Schizosaccharomyces pombe: one gene and its partners. Changing the gene in region 1 together with any one later gene gives a genetic interaction. Each region holds a gene or a part of one and is shown in the gene's direction. Other genes may lie near its edges.

Region 1 (6,795 bases):
GAGAGTCGCTAAATAATTTAATATTTGATTATGTCTGTGTTATAATGCTTTAGCGTAATTTAGCAACAAAAACAGTCACCTGAAGTTGAGGTACTTTTGACATTTACACCTTTCCAGCACCATAGGAAAATTGTAATATCCGTTTTTTTTTTCACAATGCATTTGATGTATTATTTAAATGATGAGGGAAAGCGTGTTTATACTTTAAAAAAGGTATCTCCAGATGGAAGAGTCACAAAATCTTCGCATCCTGCTCGTTTCTCTCCTGACGATAAATATTCTCGACAACGTTATACTCTGAAAAAACGGTTTCATGTACTACTTACTCAATTGCGTAAGTATTTCTATTAAATTAATTGGTATAATGATAGTGTTCTAACGATTAGCTGCAAAACCTTACTGAGCAAATAAGAAAACGTCGAAAAATTTTCGCCTTTAGAAGGGAGCTACATAAGTATGGTTTTGGTTAAATAATCAATAGTTTTGATTTTTCTTTGGTTATGTGAGTAGTGTGCTCAATTGAAAAAAAAATATATTTCAACTTGAGTTGATTTTCCGATGTTTATTGCGAAGCATTATTTGTTTGGCATTTGCATTTATTATCTATTAAACTACAAAGAATAAATCCCTGGTGTATACATAAAATCTTTTAGTAAATGCTAAACAGTTACTGAGAATGTAAAATAACGATAAAAGTAGTAACATACTAGTGGTAATTCTGAATGAAAAACGAAACAACATTTTTTTAACCAATTTGTGAAAAGAAATAATAAAAAAATAAAACAGATGTAAAAAGCCAAGTATCTATTCAAACAGACTCTTTGAACATACAAAACTTAGGATAGTTCAAATTTCTCCATTTCAATTCTTAAAACGGAGATATGCCGCTCAAGCATAATCCTCAAGGAGATTTCAAGTCTAAAATGAGTCAAATATTTTGACATCCGTACCTTCAAAGATGCCTGGCCCTTCTCTTTTATGACTGTCTAAATCGCATGAGACTTGCCAGGCGAATAGACGAGCAAAATTTGCCAATTGTTGTCTCCATTCCTTTGTTCTATATTTCGGAATGTATGGTTGATTAGTTGCTGGGTATTTTTGAGTTTTTATCATAGCCATGATTTCTGAAGCTGGATGACCGGCTTTCTTCATATCACTGATTTTGAGAGATAGGTCAGTGAAAATATCGAGCATAGTTCGGAAGTTCAGCGAAGGCCACCATTTATTCCACCATTCTACAGTCGGCTTAAAAGTGTAATCTACTGAATGAGCAATTGGCTCTACCTTCGCTTCGTCGGTATCTTCTAACGAACGGTCATTGCCATGGAGTGTGGCACTTTCTGTAAGAGCTCTATGTAATTGAGGACGTTGCTTCAACAATGGTTGGACAGGCCTACTATCCCTGTGAGTACGTAAAGAATTGGAGCGAAGTGCTTTATCGAATCCATCAGTAATTTCATCTTTGCTAGTAACGTCTTTGAGGTTAGTGAAACCAAATTCACTACTTTCTATAGGATAATATGGCGTTGGACTTTTTGACCTAACATATCGAAGTCGGCTTAACAATATGGAGTCAAACGCTTTTGAAGAAAATGTTTTACCATTGCGAGTCCAGTATGCAGAATCTCCTTCCGCGGATGAGTTTCTAACACTCATAATGGCATCAAACGATAAAGCGCTGACCGCTTCAATGTAATCTTTGTGCATTGAAAAGAAGTATAAGAGTGGTGCATTGTATTTTTGGGCATATTGAATTGCATTGTTGATAGCTCCTATAACATACTTTAAAATTTTGTGATTGACGTCGTTAGAAATTAAAAAGCCTGGATAGGAAGCAGATTGAAACAATTCAAACAAACTCTGGCTGGAATGTGAGTTTAAATTTTGCGCGTATAAACAAAGGTAGCAAAGCGAGCAGCAAAGCATTTGAGCAATCTCGGAATGATAATCTTTAGTATATTGCACTAGTAATGAAATTGCAATAATGGTAAAATCTGCGTAAGTACCACCTTCGAAAGGAACTGGCATGCTAATTGGTAAGGCGGTCTGCTGTTGAAATGGCTTGTTTAAGCGCTTACAAAAATATTTTTCAGCGGTCAAGCGCTTTAACAGAATTACACAAAGCTTTAAGTGGTTATAAGTCGAAGGATCTCCGAGATATTCAAAACTTAAATATAACAAAAATATAAACAAATCGATTGCTCGATCGGTATCAATAAGATAATGAAAAAACCTCTCGTTATAATGAATAAAAAGTTTGCAAAAAATTAATACAAGAGGGTAGTAGTCAAACATAATCAATGAGCTTCTTTTTGGAATGGTAGATTGCATAGGGGGATATAACAGTCTGCTCATTCCATCAAGGATGATTTGGAAATCTGAATAAGGTTGAAGTTTTGAAAGCAGAATGCTAAAATAGTTTTTTGGTAATGTGTTTTTTGAAGAACGGTAATTATTATAACAAGGAGTGCCGTTGTTGTTTTCTTCCGACATTAGTATGAGTAGGACAGAAAAACAATACTCTATCAAAGACATGTGAGCTACCGAGTTGTCAAGGGGAAGAAACTCAGGCTTCCAAAACATCGTATTGAAACGCATTGCTGTATTGATGAGAGAAGAAAGAAGACAAAGGACTAAGCGCCTGTTAGCTATTGAAGCAACATAAGCACAACAACTGCTTCCATTGCCATCTGTTCGATATATTTCCTCGGAAAATAATGAAAGTAAGAGTCGGAGGACTTCGACACGGTGAAGTTCGTACGAGCGCTCTTTCAACATTGTGGGATGATAAACTACCCCAGTTTCCCAAATACAGTAGTGAACTCCATGGGTAAGATCATTATGAGCAGGGATGGTAAAATTGATTAGGAACAGATAATCTACAACGGTGTTTAAAAAGCTTGCTCCTCGGGGTGTATTGATGTTCGGATCCTTTGGAACTGTCCACGCAAAATAGTCAAACCATTCTAACATTGACTTATCCTCAAATATAATTGGCATAAGCCTTGTCAAAAGTCGCATACAATTTAACGCGCATTTTGTAGTGGGAGCGGCGGGGTCATCAAACAATGTTTCTTTTTGTAGATCTTCTAATTTGTCCCAGAGTACAGCAATAATAGTTTGCAAATTTTCTGGAGCGTTGTCTTTAACTTTTGTCAAATCATCGATAGACATCAAATGAAACACGTCTTCGGTTGTTTCTGGAAGCGTCCAAAGCTAAAGATTATTAGTTAGCAAAAATATTCACGAATAAAGATCACACTTACACGCTCCCATATAAGGTCAAATTTTGGAATGTTCTGAATTGGTTAGTACACTTGAAATTTTCAATTATTTATGATTATATTCAAATTGAATTCACATTCATTAGCAGAGAATCCTAAGAATTGAACTTCGTATTCTCTGGCATTCACTGAATTATGAAACCAACCAAAAGAAAAATATTACCTACCCTTTCTTCGTGTAGTCGTAAAACCGCGTTCCTAAAGTCTAACCTGTAATTTGGTTAATAATGTATTGGTTCTTCCCCAAACCTACGGCAGGTTGAGAAATTGGACAAAAAAATAAACATACTTAGACTGTTGAGAACCCATCGAATGTGAAGGTGAAAAGTATGCATACAATCAAAGTGACACAGAGAGTGAACTGAAAAAAAAAACGATGAAAAATCTATGATTGCGAAATTTGTAAAGAGGGGAAAATGGTTGAGAGAGGGAGGAAACCAGGAAACAAGGTGATTATCTTATAGCCCAACGAAAACAATCGTCGGTTTCAGCGAAAAAAAGTACGAAAATACTCTTGTGAAGGATTTGGCTGAAGCAAAAAAGTTCTTCAAATTCAGTTTGCAAAGCACTTTTTGATAAAACTCAAATGACTTATGGAAGAGAGAAATACTAGTTAAGTACTTTTGAATAACGTTCCAGCACTAGTTTTCCCCCTCTTTAGTTTTTATAAACTAAACTTTCAAGCAAAGATGCAGCATAGGAAAACTGTAGATATCCGACCTTGAATTTTGTGAGACTCGTAGGTAGAAAAGAGAAGCCTATTGTGTCGCCCAGCGGGCTTAAAGACTAGGAGACTCAGAGGATTTAAAATTAAAGGATAGAAAAGATATTGAAAATGTAGTACTCCAAATCTTTTCAAATTCGCACTTTGAAGCCGCGATGATAAAATCTCGCAAAATTCTTAACGTGGTCGAAAATGACGAAAAAGCGAATGAGAATAAACGAACTGCAATTAAAATCCTATTCGATTTTAATTTTTCAATACTATAACAAGGATTACACTCAAAAAACACACTGCTACTACGTTCAGTAAAATTGGTGTTGTTTTCATGTAAGATTGCACCTTGCTTAAAAAACCGAAGGCATGACCCCATGTAAGGACTTGCCCCAGGTAACGTAATATCGACTGAATGCTACACCAAATTTTAAGACGGTAAGAAGCATTATGAAAATATGACATGCAATCATGAAAACCCGTATATAACTCACCACGGCAAAGTGCATCTTATAACTTCATAGAATTCACAGTCAATGAAATTTCTCTAATTTTTCCTTTAGCCATTTTTTGTTTAAAATTGATTCATATTCCAAGACATTTTTGCTCAGCTGTTATTGTGTTTCCATTTACAGGCTCGAAGAATGCTCGGGAAGGTTTAAACCATCTTCGTATTCATTACATCTTTTGAAATCACTATCAATCATTATCTGTGAAAATCCTAGTCAAACCTTCAATATTGGATTAAATCAACCGAAATGATTTTTACTCCCATTAAAATATCCAATACATTCGAGACAAACATGGTGAAAATAAATCGCTCATCTAATTAATTGAGTATCGCTTAATGTATCAAGTTGCAACACCGATCAATTGTTATTTTCTTAGTTCATGTTGGCAAGGCGGAACTTCTCTGTTGATCGATTTACATTCCGACTTTCCGTACGTGCGTGTTGTGCTGCTATTACGGTAGTAACAACGAGACTCGGAGCGATCGCTAGTAGTACTAACAGTAATTTTTGAACAAATCAGATATGAAGCAAAAGCGGCGGTAATTTCACTGAAGGAGCCAGGTGTTCTTGAGTCCGTGACTCAGATTACAGATATAGTCTTAAGTTTATTAATTTGAGGTTTATCATCTTCCAATGGTGAACGCCCACATCCTTTCCTTCTTTTGTCCTGAGCCAGCTTAAGCTTAAATTAAGCTGTAAGTGAATTTTCCGTTGGCAAAAGTTACATACATCAATTTCAGCCACAGTGAATTTATAATTTTTCCATTCGTTGTAAGTCGACTTGTCTATAATTCGGAATCGACTTTTTATCTACGTCTACTATCTTTATTTACTGTTCATTTATAATTACGACGAGCATCAAATGAATCCAAACCGTCAAGACGGCGAATAAGAAAAGAAACCTACTGTTCAAATTGTTTCCTCTACAGTAATATGCATGTGGAAAAAATGAACAGAAACATGAAATAATATTTATTTACTTGACAACAGTTTGAGATTACGATAACCCATGGTGTGTTGTTCTTTTTATGATTCGTAACTCTTTGTTATAACGAGCATTGTCTTATACTCTCAGGAGTGTGCTATTCATCTGAACGAGCCGATCTAAGTGCTTGTTCTAATAGCATTTTTATTTGTCTTACACTATGCTACGTTATTGCAAATTCAAGCTCTGCAAAGTGCGCATGCACGAACTGTACCGTAGGAGAACCAATCTGTATAGGTTCACAGGGTTGTTTCGGCATCTTTACTAATAAATCCTTGAAATCAACCGTTAGTTGGTGCTTCTAGCTAACCAAAAAGTCTTCCATGGGTGATTATTTACTGTAAGTCTTTGTTTATAGTGTCTTTGTTGTATCACTTTTTGTGTAGTTTTTAATTAACACTTTTTGTGCAGCTCTTGGTCTTGGATCTTAGATGCTTTTGAAACGTCTGATGAGAATTTATCACAAAATAAGTTTGAAGAGCTACTGGATGCTCGTATAGCTGCCTTTCAGCAAATCGAGAGTCCCGTAACAGGAACTCTCAACTCAAATAAAACCACAGAAGGCGAAGAAGCGAAGCTCTCTATTTATGATAGTAGTCATTCCATCTCGAAATCACAATTAGAAAGTGTAAAAAAGATATCAGACATTACGGGTTATAATGAGGCACAAGTCGCTTATGTACTTCTGGTGCATCAATATGAATTAAATACCCAATACTTCTCACAATTAGACAATGATTCTGTTCTTGCCCAAGAATTTCAAAGAAGATACTATGCTGAAATTATATCTTGCTGGAAAGTTTTAGCTTTCCTCTTACAAGCTTGTACCGATGCAGACAGCAAGTGGCATAAAATGGCTACCCGATTGATCGTATCGATTTTTCAAACAGCTCAGCGATCTGGAGAAAATGCACAAAGCACTACTCCTTCTATTTTCTGCGTCCGTATCATCGACTATTTAAGCAAGATGACTAGTCAAGCGGCGCCCGCTTCCTTAACATTTAATGGCGAAGAAGCTATCTCTCAATGGTATTTTTTTCATTTTAACTTACAGCTTCAACTTTTGCGGGTCATCTTTTTGTCGACTTATTCTCTAGTGGTTTGCAATTCAGAAATGGCTATATCCTGGTTCAATTGTATGAAAAAAACTAGGTATTTGCATGATCAGGAGTTTATGCATTTGGATATTGACACAGGGTTTTCTATGTGCAAAGAGATAACAAATGTTGCCATAATTATTTCCATCAACTTTATTTCATTAGAGAAACAGGTGCTTTCTTTTAAAGACAATCCTTCGTT
Region 2 (9,563 bases), on another chromosome or scaffold:
TAAATTAAAAAAACGATGCGCAACATTACTTTAAAAATTTGATGCGATTCATGTAATACACTACACCACAAGTCGATACACTCCTTTCTCCATCTGCCCTTGGGGTTCCCTTAGTGTAGACAGTTGGCACTTCTACTTTGTATAGTATCGCTGGCTTAATTTAGGTATTATAAAAGATAAAACTTGCTTCACTCGTTAATACTAGAAGTTCGGCCTTTATTACCATTTTTTACAGCCCAAAACATTCTTGGTACCTCAGCCTCTGACCGAACGAGAAAGTTGTATTTAAGTTTATTTACCTTTTTCCTCTAAAACTGCAAAATCCACGTCTCTGATTGCTCATTTTTTTTTAATATCATGTCTAGTGGATTTCCTCCTGAAGTATTGTCTCCTCTTTTAAATTTAGTTCAAGGCCTTTCGTCGCCTGACAATACTGTCCGAAATGATGCTGAAAAGTCTCTTAGCTCAGACTGGATAAGTCAAAGAGCTGACTTATTATTAAACGGCCTTGCGATTTTAGCTTATCAAAGTGAGGACCCAGCTGTGCGCTCCTTTTGTTTAGTTCTTTGCCGTCGTATTTCCTTTCGCACCTTACCAGGAGACAGTGAGTTGGAAGTGTTCTCTAGCATTTCAAATGAGTCCAAACAGTCTTTGCAAAGTCAACTTCTAGCTTGCTTTGTTAAGGAGTCAGTTCCCACTGTTCGTAATAAGCTTTGTGACACAATCGCCGAGATTGCTCGATCTATCTATGATTGTCAAGGCGAATGGCCAGAACTCATTAACGTTATCTTCAATGCTGTTAACTCTCCTGATGAGTCTTTTCGTGAATCAGTTTTCCGTACCATCACTTCTTTACCTCGTTTATTGTCAGGTCAAGATAGTGCTGTTACTCCTCTCTTTACCACCGGTTTAGCTGATCCTAGTATCCGTGTAAGAATATCTGCCGCTCGTGCCTATTCTGCCGTTATTCTTGAGAGCAAACAATCCACTCGAGATCAGGTTATTCCTCTTTTACCTAGCCTCATGAACATCCTTCCCCCTCTGCAACAAGATCGTGATTCTGATAATTTGGCGGACTGTCTTATGGCCATCACTGAAATCGCCGAAGTTTTCCCAAAGTTATTCAAACCTATTTTTGAGAGCGTCATCGCATTTGGTCTTGGTATCATTAAGGACAAGGAGCTGGATAATTCCGCTCGCCAAGCTGCTCTTGAATTGCTTGTTTGTTTTTCGGAGGGTGCCCCTGCTATGTGTAGGAAATCTTCCGACTACACTGATCAACTTGTACTTCAATGTCTCTTGCTAATGACCGATGTCGCTGGCGATCCTGAGGATGAGGCAGAAGAACTTCAAGAATGGTTGAACACGGACGATTTGGATCAGGATGAAAGTGATGCTAACCATGTTGTCGCGGAACAAGCCATGGATAGACTTTCTAGAAAGTTGGGCGGAAAAACAATTCTTCCTCCCTCTTTCACGTGGCTTCCTAGATTGATCCCGTCTCAAAAATGGTCTGAACGTCATGCTGCCCTTATGGCCATCTCATCAATTGCCGAAGGTGCTGAAAAATTAATGAAAAAAGAGCTTAGTCGTGTATTAGATATGGTACTTCCTTTGTTAGCTGACCCTCACCCCCGTGTTCGATGGGCTGCATGCAATGCTGTAGGCCAAATGTCTACAGATTTTGCTCCTGACATGCAAGTCAAGTATCCTTCTCGCATCCTCGAGGCATTGGTACCTGTTTTGGAGTCTCCAGAATCCCGTGTTCAAGCTCATGCTGCTGCTGCAATGGTTAATTTCTCTGAAGAGGCCGACAACAAGGTTCTCGAACCTTACTTGGATGATATCCTTCAACGCCTTCTTACCTTGTTACAAAGCCCTAAGCGATATGTGCAGGAACAAGCCGTTACCACTATAGCTACAGTTGCTGACGCTGCAGCTAAAAAATTTGAAAAATATTTTGATGCCATCATGCCGTTATTGTTTAATGTTCTGCAACAAGCTGACGGCAAGGAGTTTAGAACCCTTCGCGGTAAAACTATGGAATGTGCTACTTTAATTGCCTTAGCTGTTGGTAAACAACGATTCCTTCCTGTATCTCAGGAATTAATCCAAATTTTAGGTAACATTCAAATGGGTATTACTGACAGTGATGATCCTCAAGCTAGTTATCTCATCTCTGCCTGGGGAAGAATTTGCCGTGTTTTAGGAAGCGATTTTGTCCCATTTTTGAGTTCAGTTATGCCTCCTCTGTTGGTTGCTGCTACCTCGAAACCTGACTTCACAATTATAGACGACGAGGTTGATGAAAGCAAATATTCTGAACAAGATGGTTGGGAGTTCATTCCCGTTCATGGTCAACAGGTTGGTATTAGGACTAGTACGTTAGAAGACAAGTGTACTGCCACCGAAATGCTTGTCTGCTATGCTGCTGAGTTAAAAGCTGACTTTGATCCTTACGTCAATGAAGTTTTGACATCTGTTGTACTTCCAGGATTGAAGTTCTTCTTTCACGACGGGGTTCGTTCTGCTTGTTGTAAGTGTATTCCTCAGTTATTGAACGCTCGGATTTTAGCTAGCAATCGTGATCCAGCTAAAGTCAATGAGCTTTGGGAGCCTATTTTACGAAAGCTGTTGGATCATATACAAAATGAACCAAGCGTGGAAATGCTTGCCGACTATTTTGAATGTTTCTATCAAAGTTTGGAAATCAGCGGCTTGAATCTGAGTCCTTCTTCGATGGAAGCACTCGTTGCTGCCGTTGATTTGCAGCTCAAAGGATTCATTTCTCGCGTGCAGCAGCGTGAGGAGGAGGCTAAAAATGGTGACATAGATATTGAAGAAGATGAGGACATGATTCTTGCAGTCGAAAATGATCAAAACTTGTTAAACGAAATAAACAAGACTTTTAGTGTTGTATTAAAAATTCACAAAACTGCTTTCTGCCCTTTTTGGGAAAGGCTACTACCGTACATGGATGGCTTTTTGTCTGGAAACGACACTGTAGCTAAGCAATGGGCTCTATGCATGATGGATGACTTAATTGAATTTACTGGACCCGATTCTTGGAACTACAAGGATCACTTTTTGCCTTACTTAGCTGAAGGTATTCAAAGTAGCGAACCAGAAATTCGACAAGCTGCCTCGTACGGTATTGGAGTAGCCGCTCAGCATGGAGGAGAGTTGTATGCTGAAATCTGCTCTAGTGCTTTGCCCGCATTGTTTAAGATGCTCGAGCTTCCTGATGCCCGTGATGAAGAACAAATTTATGCCACAGAAAATATTTGTGTTGCGATATGCAAAATTTGCCGCTTTTGTAGCCAACGTGTTCAGGATCTTGACAAAGTTGTAACGTATTGGATTAATACACTTCCTGTAACACATGATGAAGATGACGCTCCTTATGCTTACACTTTCCTTGCGGAATTGATGGAACAAAATCACGTGGCCGTTGCCTCACAAATGCCAACGATTATTACGATTTTAGCAGAAACATTTGCATCTGGAGTTTTACGTGGAAGAACTTTGACACGTTTGATGGAAGCTTCGAAGGTTTACTTAGCTCGTTTCCCTGCTGATCAAGTTAATTCTGTCATTGCCACTTTGAGTGTCGATAATCAGAGAGCTTTGTCTGCACATTTTTAAATTTCATTTCTTTCACTCTAAGTCTTTCAATATTTTCTTTGGTTCCTCAAAATGCTTTAGTTAGTTTAGGTTAGGTTAGGTTTTTATTTAATCCATCAACAATCTTCGGATTTTGTTTCACTCTTTTTAGACTATGCCGGCTAGGTTTTCACTTATTGCTTTATACATTACTTGATTTTTCATCGTATTAAATTATTTCTTCGTGTAGCAGCTCTTTCGTGTATAATACGTTTTGATGTGTGGTATGATTATAATATATTGCTCGCATCTTTTGCAATTAATTTTTTTTTTAAATGTATATACTGTAGTCAAATTGATTTTGCTTTAGTTATAACCTGTGAGATCTGGTATTTTATTGAAAGTAGCATAGTTAAGCACTATCCAACTTCCCATCAACATGAGCTACAACTCCAATCCTTATAACGGTGGGCAATATCCACCATATAATACATATACTAGACCTAATTATTCACCAAATAATGGTTCTCAAAGTAATAACACTGTACATCAATATCAGCCTCCACGTATGCCACCCCCTTCCACAAGGCCTCAGACAGACGGCAATTCTAATCAAATCCCTATGGAGAATGTTGGTCATATAAGTTTGAGCTCTGCAAACTCCCATGCTTATGCCCCACCCTCAGGTCCGCCTCCGAATACTGGTGCTAATTCTTATGGCAACCCAAATTATAGTGGGCCTCAGCTGCCAAACACTCAGACTCAATCTTATAACTTAGCAGGAGGAGGAAACTTTCAGTATCAGTATTCAACTTGCCAAGGGAAGCGAAAGGCTTTGCTGATCGGAATTAACTATCTCAATACCCAAAATGAGTTGCAAGGTTGCATTAATGGTACGGAATGCGAAAGGTCAAGTAAACATATATTAACTTGTTTAAGATGTCATGTCTATGTCCCAACTGCTGATACAGCGCTACGGTTACAAGCAAGAAGATATGGGTATGGTTGATTACGAGAACATCTTGCTAAAACTTTTTTAGTTATTATGACAGACACGGCAAGCAACCAAAGGGCAATTCCCACTCGTCAAAATATGTTAGATGCGATGAGATGGTTAGTAAGTGATGCCCAACCTAATGTAAGTTATATGTCATGGGATTTACTTCCTAATGCTAACTATTTAGGATGCATTATTTTTTCACTATAGTGTAAGAATCATCACTTTACATCTCATACTCACATGCATAGGGCCACGGAGGGCAAACAAAAGACCTTGATGGAGACGAAGTTGATGGTTATGATGAAACGATATATCCACTGGACCATCAATATGCCGGGCAAATTATAGATGATGAAATGCACGAAATAATGGTTAAGCCTTTACCAGCAGGATGTCGTTTAACAGCTCTCTTTGACTGTAAGTCAGTGATTTTAATCTATTTTTAACAAAATATAGCTTGTCATTCAGGTGGAGCTCTCGATCTTCCTTTCACGTACTCTACCAAGGGCGTTCTAAAGGAGCCAAATATGTTAAAAGAATCTGGTATGGATGTACTTCATGCTGGCCTTTCTTATGCCTCTGGCGACATTATGGGAGCTATCAACAACGTGAAAAATATATTTACCAGTGCTACCAATGGATTTAATAACAACGCTCTACAGTACTCTAGACAAGTTAAGTTTTCTCCTGCTGATGTTATTTCTTTATCCGGATGCAAAGATAATCAAACAAGCGCAGATACAAGTGTTAATGGATTCGCTACTGGTGCTTTATCATACGCCTTCCGTGAAGTCGTCACTCAAAATCCCCAACTTAGCTACTTGCAGTTGCTGAGAGGTATTCGACAAGTACTTTCCAACAAATACTCACAACTGCCCCAATTAAGTTGTAGTCATCCTTTAGACATGAATCTTGCCATGGTTTTATAGTACACTAAACATTACTTGATCATTGAAGTTCTATATTTTTGTAGTTCCATCAGATATTTAAGGAATTTTCAATTAAGGATAAAATTTAAATCACAACAACTCAGGAAATCATATCTAATACTTTATTGAAATATTTTTGTTTGCAATTTATAATTTTGCTTAAAAAACGAGCTCAAATTAAAATTATACACGCGAGAAAACTCATGGCTCTTCCAGTCCGTTCTGTTGGGGATGAAACCATTCAGATTTGATAGCCTGTTTAACTTCTGTAGCATTCTTTATGGAATCTTCAAGCGAATGTCCGCGAGCACAGATATAAAACTTAAGTTTCGGCTCTGTACCACTTGTGCGAATAGTCATAATTACCTCTCCATTTTCAAGCTCAAACGTTACGTTATCTGAACTTTTTGAAACTGGTAAAGTAGCTTTACCATCCGTGGAGCTTGAGTCGTAACCTGTAGTAAGGTCGCGAACATTTGTAATTTTCTTACTACCAAGGGTTGCCGGATAACCCGATTTTGTGTCATAATGTCTCAAGGCATCAACCAAAGCACGAAGCTTGGGAGTGTCGCGTGAAAGGAAATATGAGTTTTGCGTAGTGTAATAACCATATTTTTTAGACATTTGCTCAAAAACCTCGGTAATTGAAAGATTCTGAAGTTGAAGGCGTTTCAAAAGATGAAGGAACGTAATCAAAGCATTAACCCCGTCTTTGTCTCTAACTATACTACCTACCATATAACCAAGAGCTTCTTCATATGCCAATCCAATAAATTTCCCTTGTTTTTCCAATTCTAATGCTTTATTGCCTAACCACTTAAATCCAGTAAGTGTTTCAACATGATGGAATCCTTCTACTTTGGCCATGGACTTTACCATAGCACTAGAGACAGTAGTTGACAAAACGTAAAAATCATCAATTGGCTTTCCAACGTTTTTGTATTCTTGAAATATAAAATAGGCAAGGATACAACCAACTTCATCTCCGGTAAATCTTCTCCAAGCACCATTAATTTTTTCTGCAAAGGCGAAACGATCTGCGTCAGGATCAGTTGCAAGGACATACGAAATACCATTAGCATCAGCTTGCTCGTAAGCCAAATCCAATGCCCCCTCCTCTTCTGGATTTGGAAATTTCACAGTCGGAAAGTCAGGGTTTGGAGAATCTTGAAGAGGTACAGAAATCATATCGCCTTGTTCGCCAAATAAGTGTAATGCTGAAGTAACAAATGGTAATCCAACGCCATGAATAGGAGTGTAAACAAATTTCAAAGATTTCATTTCCAAGGAAAAGTTGTTTTCGGAATGGAATTCGTGGAGCTGAGACCAATAGTTTTTTAAAAGACCAACTGCAAAATCCCGATCTGCTAGTTTATGATTTTCAACCAAATTTTTGTCCCAAGTAATGGGCGTTAAGTTTTTTTCTATACATGCAGCAATTCCCTTGTCATGGGGAGGAATGATAGCACAACCGTTTCCCCAATAGACCTTGTATCCGTTATAAGCTGCGGGATTATGGGAAGCAGTAATCATAACACCAGCTGCAGTCCCTAGGGTTTTAACGGCAAAAGGGACTAAAGGGGTATGGACAAGATGATCGAAGAAATACGTTTTGAATCCTTTTTGCAAGAACACTGCAGCAGTAAGTCGAGCAAAAGTATTAGACTTATGCCTATGATCGTGTCCAATTACCACACCCAGCTTTGCAGCTGATGGTACGGTTTGAAGCAAATACTCAGCGAAGCCTTGTGAGGCTTGAATCACGGTCAAACAGTTCATGCGAGCGAAGCCAGCACCAATTTCAGCTCTCAAACCTTTGTAAACATTAGTAAATGAATAAACGAACTTGATAATGTTAAAACATTAAGATGTATAGAGAGAACAATCGCAAGCTGAAAATCTAATTACACTTAAACCAATTTCGTACAAGCACGTTATATAACATTCCAAGCAAAAAAGACCAAAACAGATAGAAAAGAAGAAGAAGAACGAAAAACTCTTTCTGAAATATGACCAATATGATCATCACAATAAATTAGTATACGCAGTAAGGAAAGTGACCGATGATCAAGTATATCACTTCGACTCTAATCAAGGAAAACACAATAAAGTAGTTTAAGCTACCGGCTGTAGCACTGAGAATTCTTTATTAAGAAAGAGGCATTATTTAGCGTTCTCTTTCAATCCACTTCAACTTGCGAAATATCTCTTAACAATCTCAATTTTTTCTTCTTTTGTAATAAAAACATACCAGATGTACCAAATCCAATCCTTGGATGCATAATTTGCTTGAGGGTGGCATAATCTTCAGCCTTAATCAATTGTGAAACTTCATTCCTCGTAGTTTCATCCTAATGCGTTCAATCTGTTAGTTCCACAGTACTTCCATAGTAAATATAGTCCTAATACTTACTTGATCTAATTTGAACCACTCATCTACTAATTCTTGCAAAATCGGATCCATCTTGCCAAATGGGAATTGTTACCATTTGTTTGCTACACACACAATACACGTATCTCATCACCTCGTTTAACGCGTCCTTACGCCGTGGTATTTCGTATCCGTTTTCTTACAAAAATGATTTTAATAAAATAGACTCAAAAACAAAAAGTAGTAATAATATTATACTCATGACCTCCAATTATTCTAGAGAATTTCTTAAAACATTAGCTGCAAAAAGAAGCCTAGTAATTTGAAAGCAGCAGTTAATTACGATATATACCGCTTACAAAAAGGAGAAATTGGAAGAATTCAAGACCTGACGTCAATTCGCAAGCTGAATCGTTTTAATTAATAGGCGTCGGACAATGGGATTCACTTAGGCTTGGCGACGTTCTTGTCTAAAAATTGCTTGTCGGAATGTGTCATTGAACCGAAAAGGTTTGAAGCTCTTGACTAATAAACAACAGTAACTGATGTTAACTTTTTATAGAATATCCCAGGTTTCAATTCAACACGTTTATTCATAAATCTCAATCTATGTTATGCAGATGAGATTGAAAATCAATACCATCAAGTACAACTTCTCTAAACTGAACGGGTTAAGTATGGAATGGTTTAAAGTTTTAAGTACTGGATCACTCCAAGCTTTGAGATACGATAAGAAAATTAGTGTTAGTACATTTGTGGCTTTAATCACACCTTTTCCATAACCAGGAACTAAGTTTTCAAAGATCTACTATTCGATGATGAAAAAATAGCATTCATAAAGTTGATAACAGCATACATAAATGAAACTGAAATATTGAGGAGGTAAGGCAAACATGATGACCATAGTTTCAATTGACTATGTAATACGTACTATGGCTCATTAAAACCTATCAAAGAAAGAGAAATACGAATAAGAGGAAATTCAAGCCTGTTTAGAATGAGAAGAGAATAAAGATTGGGTTTTGGCGAAGGATACGCTGTTGCATTAAAACAGCCTTAAATAGGTTCTATAAATGGTTAGCATGTAAAAAAAATTAAAATTGAATCATGAAAAAATATTAAAAAATAATAAAAAAACCTACCACTTAAGAGCTTGTTCAAATTGTTGAGACGAGAACCAACACTGACATCAAGAATATTATCACCAATTTCAACAATTAGTCCACCGATGATAGAAGGAGTAACTTTATTGCTAACCAGTAATTTACCCTTGCCATATTTCGATTTAGCTATCCGAGATTCGAGACGAGAAAGGATCTTCGAATCTAGAGGAGTAGCTGAAGTAATTTTAACTTCAATTTCTCCTCTTTTAGCGCGCATCAAAGTAGAGAATTGTTTCTGAATACGAGTTAAGAGATAAAGACGATGATTGTCTAACAAAACATTGTAGAAATTCTTCAAAAGGGGTTCATTTCCAGTCATCTGCGTCAAAGAACTAACCAATATTTTCTTATCCTCACGAGTCAACCAAGGACTAGAAATGTATTGTTCAAATTCCGGTCTCTGTTGAAGAACACCAGACAGTTTATTTAAGGCCTTCTCAACATTGTCCAACTTGGATTCTTTTACTGCAGCGGTATACAGAGAAGAAGCATAAGAA
Region 3 (9,374 bases), on another chromosome or scaffold:
TCGTAGAGGAGACCGTTCTCGATGATACGCAGACTGTTCACCAGGGGGGCTCTGTGAACGTCTTTGACTCCGTTCTATGCAAAAAAAGGATGAGTATTTCTATCAAACTAAACATTAACAACTTACCAGGAGAGCGTTCTCTTTTCCAACGACTGTACTCTACTTCACTTTCTTGATGGACCTCACTCATATTTTGACACTGTTCCCCTTCTATAAATACCAGCAATCGGGATTAATTTATTAAAAAACTAATGATTTCAATTGGGTCAAAATTGGTACTCAACCTGCTTAGTTGAAGAATGTTCTTACGAGAGAGAAATATCCATACAGCACTTTATGCTGGTACACTAAGTTTCATTATTCAAAATATAGAAAATTGTCAAATACTTTATTATACGCATCAGTATATCTAAATAAACTGAGATTATAAAAGCAAATGATTAAACAAAAAAGTGAGACTTCGAATTTTATGCGAATGCTATTGAACAATTAATACTAAACATTGTCTCATTATCGTCAATAAATACAATGTTGGATTACTTAAAAAACTGTGCTTACAAAGAGCTTAGAAGCACTCTCACAAAAGTAAACAATAACATCTGTTTTCAAATCACTGAAGATCTAATTTCCATTGTATAAACGGTCAAGAAAGGTACAACTTGCATACCAATAGTAACTTTGGTAGCATAGAGTAAGATTTCTTTTACTTTTGTTCTCTGCTTCAGATATTGAAGCGTAAGTTATCTCATTTCTTGTGCAACAAAAAAAAAGTAGCTTTTGCACGTCCTCTAAAAGATATGCCTCAGACAAAAAATTTAAAAAAAAAAACAACCAAATAAATAATAACATGAAAAATGAATTAAGCACGTTTGCTTTAAGAGATTTATTCGAGCTCAACACCGGGCCAACCTTGGAGATCACTTAACTGGGCTCGTATATAACTAGTGTTTGCTCCAGGATAGGACTGAGAGGCAAGATCAGTACTTTGGAATCCAATCAAAAATACTTTGCGAAGCATTTCCCAAAGTTCCTCATTTGATTCGCAGCTCTCCATTGAGGTAGAACTGTTTTGTATAATATCAATTGCAGCAAGTAGATGTTTTGCAGCATCTTCAAAGTATCCTAAATTGATGTTGGAAACAGCCATGTTTGAGCGAACTCGAACATACTGGGGCTGTAGAGATACTGCCCGATTATAGGAAGAAACAGCTTCAGTATTTTTTTCTGCATTTGTTAAAGCAGCACCAAGCTTATTCCACAATATTTCGTTACTTGGTTCGTCTTGAAGAGCTTGCCGAAAACAATCTGCAGAACGCTCATACTCCTTCAACATATACATAATTATTCCTAATCCAGCTTGTACCTTGGAGGAACGCTTCTTAGCAAGTGATAACTCATAAGCTACATCCAAGAAATACATCTGCATTTTCAAGAGATCGTTAGCAGAATCTTTCTCTTCAAACCTTTCGTTTATCTTTGCAAACCTGTTTCGGTATTGGGGAAAACTGTTGACTATCCAGTCTTCTAAGCAAACCAATGCCTGAACATTTAGAGACTGATTAACATAAGACACAGCAAGATCCATCATTAAGTCAAGATTGGTTGAATCCAATTTGACAGCTTCAAGTAGGGCTTCAACAACCCGCGATTCGTTTCCCAATAGAGTATGAATGCGACCTAACCATTTCCAGGCCTCGAAGTGCTGTGGATTCTCTTTCACAGATTGTTCCAATAACACAGCTGCTTTCGAGATAGATCCTCCATTTTTTATTAAATTCATGGCTTCAACAAATGGATCTATTCCGTTTAGCTCTTTCACAACCTCTGAAGATTCATCTTGGTTCTGTGAATATACATCTTCCGTTTGTAAAGAGTTTTCAACAACGTTATCAGTATCGCTATGCTGGAAAATTTGAGGATCTATGTTTTTATTATGAGCTAAATTATCATTAGCAAAGCTATTCACAGACGAAGTGTAAGGATCGTCAGAAATATTGTTTGACTTTAAAAAATCTTCCCATTGTTTCTGGTATTCCTCTAAACTTGCGGGCTCTAGCCCGGCGTTTTTCAATTGCTTTTGATGCTCTTCCCATAGCTCCTCAATTGATTTACTTCCAGTAGCATCCTTTTCCTTCTCTAATTTATTGGAGATTTGAGAAGCTTCCTCAAATTTCTTAGCCAACTCAGTTTCGTCAATAGCTAAAGAACTTTGTAAGGGTATTTCAGTATTTGAAGATAAATTTAGTCCAGCGGAACCAAAAAAAGATTGTTTTAAAGGTTGGTTTAAGTTTCGAAAACGGTCGTTTTCAGATGAATTGAGAAATACTTCAGAGAATTCTGATGTCCAAGCCGACTTACTATTCTGCTGCTGAAGAGAAGAAAAAGAATGTACCCAATTTTCTTTCGAGCCTCCACGAGTAGTTGTGCCGGTATGATTTCCAGTTTTTAAGCTAACTGGGTTCTTAACTACATTACCTAAAGGACTATTGTTTCCTTGGAGATTTTTGAAAGATGTGAATTGATCCTCAGACAGCGTTTGCAAAGGAGCGTAAGTACGACTTTGAGACTTGGTTAAATGTTTTCGATATTGAGCTGAAGGTGTTGAATTATTGACAACAGCTGTGGAAGTCAATTTCTTAAGAGGATTAGATAGCGTTGAACATCCTGCTTCAACAGACATTTTTGAAGAAAGTAGACTATAGCCAATATAAAGGCTCTCGACCAAAAGGAAATAGTTTTTTAAGTAGGTTGTAAGAAAATTAATATCAAAGAATGAAAAATTTCGCAACTTGATTGAATTTGCGATGTGTTTTAAAAACCAAAAATATGAAAACAAAAAAGCGGAAGAAGTAACGATGCAACTAACCAAAAAACAAAAATTGATCGCACCAATGATTGTTACAAAACTTGCGTATAAACTCAGGCATGTATTGCTGCTTATTACCAATTACAAAAATATTTAGATGAGTGCGCTCAGTTCATGTAGATGCTGAGCGTAGCACGTTAGATTAATCGCTTCTGTAATACACCACATTAACCCATATCAATTTATAATAAAGACTTTCTCTTTATTTTTTCAGACTAATCTATTGCCACTAAGGAATTTAGATTTCAACATTTTATTATACTTTTGTAAACCATGCTGCATATGTTAAAACCATAGCTTTATGATACAGAGAAAAAAATCCATATTATTTCTAAGTTCTTTTCAAATTAGTGTGATTAGAAAGTTAAACCAAGGGTTGGATTGAAGTATTAACTCTACATCTATTTATTCACCTGTTGTCTAAATTACAACGCCAAATGAATTAAATCACCAAATACTTCTGTCGCTCACAATAAAATGTATTAAAAAACTAATTAATTTTCGCTAGTCAATATTCGCTGTAACAATGGTTTTGGTTGTTTTCTGCTTAATACCAATTGATGCCACCTACAGTTCACATCCGACAAATATTTGTTAAAGAACCTGTCGCTAATTAAAGTGCTAAAAATCGCTCGTTCAAATTGTGATCTCATTATGAATTAGCATATTAGTTGGCGAATTTAATAAAGCCAAGTAATAAATTGATGATGTTATAATAACGAAAACATTGTATACAACAACAATTCCGCTTCATAAGTAAAAAAAGGTATTTAAATTATACGAGTCTTACAAACTATTAAAAGTCTTTGCCGAAAAACTATCGCGTAAGAACCATTTGCATTGATTTTACACAACTTTGAATACAATTTCTTTTATACCAAGAAGCTTAAAGTGTTCAATTATGATAAACAATGACTAATCCAGAGCAATTGAAGAGGATACTTTCCCACGAAGTTCTGCTGAAAATTGAAATGTCAAAAAATGGAATAGTGGAATATGCCAATCCTGCATTTTTTGAATTAATCGGCTACGAAGGAGATTTATTTCAATGTAGTTTCTATGAGTATCTTCAAAGCGATGATGAACACTTAATGAAGAAAGCAACCGATAATCTTTTCAGAAAAAGCATATCAGTTGCACATGTCTTTGCTTTTCTCAGATGTAATCCAATACGCAGTCCTAATTATTATATTCAACAAGCCAAAGCTCCATTTGAGGGAAAGACGTATATTAGAATGCTTTTTCGAGGCATTCTAGTAGACTCATTGTATGGTAAAGATACAAGGGTTTTGTGGGCAGGAAAATATTTATATCCACAACGGTCCGTGATCAACGAAATGGATTTCATCCTGTTTAACACGTTAGGGATTGGTGCCTTCATTCTTCATGATCATTTGCTCGGAATAATCAAATACAATTATATACACGTTCCTCCTCCTTCAGGAAAATTATGTTCGTTGTGTGAAGATAATTTACCAGAGTGGTACTTTGAGGTACATAGCGATTTTTGCCTTGTTTGGAATGATCTCGTACGCCGCGTTTTCGCCGTACAACAATTGATAAATTGTAAGAAGCTGGAAATAGAAGACATAGTTAACAAACTCCCTACGGGTAGTAATCATATGGTTGAAGAAACCTTTCTTTCCTTGCCGGTCATAACAGTATTCAACGGGAAGAAAAACAGAAAACAGAGGTTTCGCATTCGATCATGGAGAAGCTCTCTGAACTTTTTGGTTAAGGAACTGGACAAATCCATTAAAAATTTTGCTTATTTAGAACATCGAACGTTTTTGACAATTTCAAATTCTGCCGCGAAAGACATGAAGCGAGAGATTTATGAAAAATCATTGGTGAATTGGGAGTATGATTTTCTTGTTCCCTCAAAGATCCAGGATTATTTTTACGATGTTCATTCACTTCTTTTGAAAAATTTATCGTCTAAAATAAAACTCTGTAATCACATTTTAATGTATCAAGCAACGTTTAATGAAGTTAAAAATTTTCTTCAAACGTACTCCTTGAATATGCTATCAATTGAGATGGAAAACATCGAAGGAAGTCTGTACTTTGGAAATGCTCAATTGTCCAATCTAATTTGCGTAAACCAATACCTTTCCGAACAGAGACCAGTGTTTTTCAACAGGCTGTTAGCCCTTGGGAACGTTGAAAATAATAATTCAATTTACGATGACATCCAGAAACGAACAGAACGTATATCTACCATAAAAAGACATAAAAAATACTTTGAGATTGGAGAACGCTTAACAGAAAAAGACTTAATTGTGTCTAAAACCTTTAAAACAACAAGGATAGATTATTTTAAAGCGGTAAAGGGATCAATTGAAGATCTGGATGTGAGACCTCTAAAAAATCGGCAGAAATTTGTTAACAAATTCTATGCCTCGATCGTTCATTTTCTTACCGAAAGTATGCAGTTCCCAAGCCATAATGATAGGAGATTTGGGGATAATACTCCTCACTCATTAGACGAGTTCATACTTTTAAAAGAAATAAACAGAGGGGCATACGGTAGGGTTTATCTTGCTAAAAAAAGATCTTCAGGAAAGTATTTTGCTCTTAAAATGATTCCAAAATCCAGTCTTGATAGCTTAAAAAAAATAAAAGGACTATTGCTTGAAAAGCGTAACATGCATATCCAAAGATATGGACCAAACACAGTGAAATTATATTATGCATTTGATTCTGGGGACTACCTATGCCTTGTAATGGATTATTTTAATGGAGGAGATTGTGAAACACTTATTCAAAAATTAGGACCGTTACCAGAGCAATGGGTTTGCCAGTACGCAGCTGAATTACTAAATGCTATCGAGCTTTTGCATCAGGATGGAATCATCCATCACGACATAAAGCCTGCCAACATGTTGGTTGACGAAACAGGACATATTCGGCTTACAGACTTCGGACTGAGTGAAAACGTAGAGGAAAAAAAAGAGGTTTATAAGCTTACTAAGAGGATGTCATTTGAACAGAAACATGGAAATTTGTATGAGCAGCTTCAACCTAAAAAATTCGAATTTGTAAGATATGTTCGAAATTACCGCGGGAATATTGATGAGCTTGAGAAAGCGGAGAGTCCACAGCAAAATAGTGATTATGCCAATGACTCGGTCCAGCATTTACTTGACTTTGATATCAATAACATGGATGAAACAGCAATACACATGTTAATGAATCAGTTAGAGAAAAAGGAAAACCGGACATTCATCAAAAAAGATATTTCAGGGACGCCAAATTATATGGCTCCAGAAATTTTAATGGGCGTTGATACTCAGATGGGCGATATATGGGCGATGGGTTGTGTGATATTCGAAATGTTGACTGGCACGCGACCATTTGAAGCAAATACTGTAAAAGCAATATGGGCTCGCATAGAGAGAAATGATATTGGTTGGACTAAAAGAGTGAAAGAAAGCTGCTCAAAGGAGGCGGTAGACTTAATCACCAAACTCATGGATCCAGACTGTAACAAACGGCTGGGTAGCAATGGATACCAGGAAATCAAAAAACATCCTTTTTTTCGAACCATTAAATGGGATAATTTAAATAGTGGGCCAGGTCCGTTCGTTCCACAAACAGAAAATGTTGAAGATTTGACGTACTTTGAAAAAAACATAAGCGGTTCGGATAATATTAATAAAAATAATTGTCAGACGTCAGCAACTTTAATTCTAAATGGTATTTTTGCTTTTCATCCTCCTCCAAAAGCAACACCAGCTGACAGTGGTACTGAAACCTCAAACTCAGCTGCTTTCTCTGCGTCCGAGGAGGAGACCACAAATTTAACAGACCAAAAACGAAAAGATCTTTTTTCACTAATAACCAAAGCGTTTAAGGGAATAGACTTAAAGGCCCTTAATTACAACAACAAAGCCACGCTTTTGCGAATGTATGATGAGGTCGATTTCCCCAAAAATCAACAAAGAAATAAAGAGAAATTTCGAATTCAGAAACGACCTAACAAAAAGTATCGCTACCATTTATTTTAACATCATGTAAAACCATAGACATAACATGTTCGCTATCCAGAACGAATCATGATAAGTTGAAAAATGGTTAATTAATATTTCCATACAGAAACAGTAAAAAGACAAATAAACTTGTTCTACAAAATCTTTTATTCTGAGGCTTTAGCCAAATAATGCTTCTAACATAAGTTGATGTTTCCTCCTTGAATCCAAATATTATTAATAGTTGAATTTCATATATGAAAAAAAGCTATCTCATTTCACTAAACGTTTCAAAGGATGACATTTCCTATACGACAGAACATTTAAGAGGACTGAATAGTTTACGAATTGAAGTAAGTTAGAACAAAGTGTTTACCGCATATCTTTGAAAGCGTTAAATGATTTTAACAATATTTTTCGCATCGTTATTCAAGTAAGTATTATTTGACAGATTATATGATATACCTAACAATACTCCTTTATATCATTGATTTTGAACATTCGCCGAAATGTTTAGTTGGGCTAATATTGGGTCCAACGAGTATTTGCCTTTGAAAAATGATCGAAAGGCTTATTTGAATCAATGGGCAAAACGATCGGGACTAGCAATTGCCGCTATTTGCATTTTAGGAATTCTGATATTGGCAATTGTGAAATTATTTTGCTTCAAAGCAATTATTTTTCCTATCGTTGGAGGTTCCTTCAACAATGGGACCAATGTTTTTCAGTCCACTGTCATCGTAATCTCCTTGGATGGATTCCGTGCTGATTACTTATATCGTGGGTTCACACCTAATCTTCTGAGCCTGGCTGAACGTAATGTCCATGTTCCCTTTTTGATTCCTTCTTTTCCTAGTATAACTTTCCCTAATCACTATACTATTGTTACCGGTTTATATCCCGAGAGCCATGGAATCGTTAGTAACAACTTTTTTGATCCTGTAACTGGGAAGCAATTTGTCAACAGTATGCCTGAATGTAACAAAGACCCAACTTGGTGGGATAAAGGGGAGCCTATATGGGTCAACGCTGAGCGAAATAACGTTCGATCAGCGGTACATATGTGGCCTGGAAATGAAGTGGAGAATCATGGTTACAGACCTACTTATTCGGATGGTTTCAATTTTGATACGACTCTAAGAGAAAAGAAAGATAGAATACTCGAATGGCTGGATCTTCCTGATAAAGACCGCCCTCAGTTATTACTTGCTTATGCTCCCCATGTAGATATGGTTGGGCACGCATTTGGACCGGATTCGCCTGAACTGAATATCATAATTCAAGAAGTTGATATCGTAATTGGTGAACTAATTGAAGGACTGAAGAAAAGAAATATCGATAAGCATGTCAACATTATTTTTTTAAGTGATCATGGAATGGCGCCTACATCCGATAATCGTCTTATCTGGCTGGATAATATGTTTAATTTGTCTGCCGTTGCACACAGAGATGCTTGGCCGTTAGGAGGTTTTAGAGGAGAATCTGATTTAGATGATGAGTACATTTACGAAAGTCTTGTTAATTATTCTCGCTCGTCATTACCTTCTGCTGAGAATTGGAATGTTTATTCAAAGAAAGATATACCTTCTCGATGGCATTACTCAAATAATGAAAGAATAGCTCCCGTTTGGATGATCCCGGATGTTGGATGGTCTCTTGTCTCGATGCTGGATCATTCACCGGAGTTGGAGTATGAGCCTTTGGGTGTACATGGTTATGACAATTTGTCTCCAGTGATGAGAGCACTTTTTATCGCTTCAGGATCTTCTTTTAAGAATTTTAAGGGAAAGAAGCTTGCACCGTTCCAGAACACCGAAATTTATGGCATTCTTTCGCATATATTAGATTTACCAGCTCAGCCTAATAATGGTACATATGAAGGTGCTTTACCTTTAAGAAGAAATCGTAATTCTACTAAGGAATGGTTGCTGAAGGACATAGAACAAGCATACTCTAAGCTTATTTAATTCTGCTGTTTTATCACTATCTTTATATTTTTTAATATTTTTAATTTCCTTTAGATTATATTTAATACTTTTTTTTAATAAACGACTTTATTTGAATAGCAACAATAACTGTATTCCGATTTTTAAGAATCGTAAAAGAACATCACTTCTTCTATTTTTAATTAAATGATGGTCATAACTTTGGTTTCACTTTGGTACTGCTCATCCATGCAAATGTCTAGTGATTGTTAGCTTGTTCTTATACCTAATTCATTCCATTAATACTTACCAATTTTCGAGCAGCCTCCGGGTCCACCATAACATTTATGAGAGATACAGATGAGGTTTGCCATGCTTTCCTGAGGGAACTTCTCAAATCTTCTTCATTCTTTACAAAGAAACCTTTACCACCACATGCTTCGCAAATTTGATCATAACGTATACTAGTGCCTAAGGCAGTAGTCGGTAATTGGTGATTATCACGTAAAGTTTCATAAGCATCAGTATCTAATCCATGGTAAACACCATTATTATTGATTACAATTACCAAAAGATCCAGCTGGTTGCGTATGGCGGTTTCCAGTTCCATGG

Evidence for each region.
Region 2: mutations in SPOM_SPAP27G11.11C (region 1) and pca1 together harm fitness more than expected from each alone (negative genetic interaction), as found in Schizosaccharomyces pombe (one large-scale study listed by BioGRID).
Region 3: mutations in SPOM_SPAP27G11.11C (region 1) and ppk31 together harm fitness more than expected from each alone (negative genetic interaction), as found in Schizosaccharomyces pombe (one large-scale study listed by BioGRID).

Annotation. Positions count from the first base shown.
Region 1 is NC_003424.3:1,628,866-1,635,660, reverse strand, and holds SPOM_SPAP27G11.11C (uncharacterized protein), read left to right. Parts: upstream 1-4,457; coding exon 4,458-4,480; exon of another isoform or gene 4,481-4,532; intron 4,533-4,562; coding exon 4,563-4,761; downstream 4,762-6,795. Other genes in the region: nop10 (snoRNP complex protein), read left to right, coding at 157-334, 387-403; SPOM_SPAP27G11.12 (uncharacterized protein), read right to left, coding at 919-3,216, 3,267-3,299, 3,452-3,494, 3,574-3,593; SPOM_SPAP27G11.16 (uncharacterized protein), read right to left, coding at 4,064-4,378.
Region 2 is NC_003421.2:2,259,925-2,269,487, forward strand, and holds pca1 (metacaspase Pca1), read left to right. Parts: upstream 1-4,042; coding exon 4,043-4,496; exon of another isoform or gene 4,497-4,542; coding exon 4,543-4,602; exon of another isoform or gene 4,603-4,643; coding exon 4,644-4,741; exon of another isoform or gene 4,742-4,768; intron 4,769-4,787; coding exon 4,788-4,811; intron 4,812-4,851; coding exon 4,852-5,020; intron 5,021-5,059; coding exon 5,060-5,532; 3' UTR 5,533-5,733; coding exon of another isoform or gene 5,734-7,346; 3' UTR 7,347-7,381; downstream 7,382-9,563. Other genes in the region: karyopherin/importin beta family nuclear import signal receptor Sal3, read left to right, coding at 358-3,645; pgm2 (phosphoglucomutase), read right to left, coding at 5,734-7,346, 7,784-7,883, 7,946-7,996; F0-ATPase delta subunit atp5, read right to left, coding at 8,960-8,970, 9,046-9,563. UniProt on the Schizosaccharomyces pombe protein: Involved in cell death (apoptosis).
Region 3 is NC_003423.3:1,210,325-1,219,698, reverse strand, and holds ppk31 (serine/threonine protein kinase Ppk31), read left to right. Parts: upstream 1-3,777; coding exon 3,778-6,876; 3' UTR 6,877-7,009; downstream 7,010-9,374. Other genes in the region: pir2 (C2H2-type zinc finger domain-containing protein), read right to left, coding at 1-74, 127-190; peroxisomal targeting signal receptor Pex5, read right to left, coding at 884-2,680; npp1 (nucleotide pyrophosphatase), read left to right, coding at 7,347-8,804; 2-hydroxyacyl-CoA lyase Hac1, read right to left, coding at 8,977-9,021, 9,073-9,374. UniProt on the Schizosaccharomyces pombe protein: Has a role in meiosis.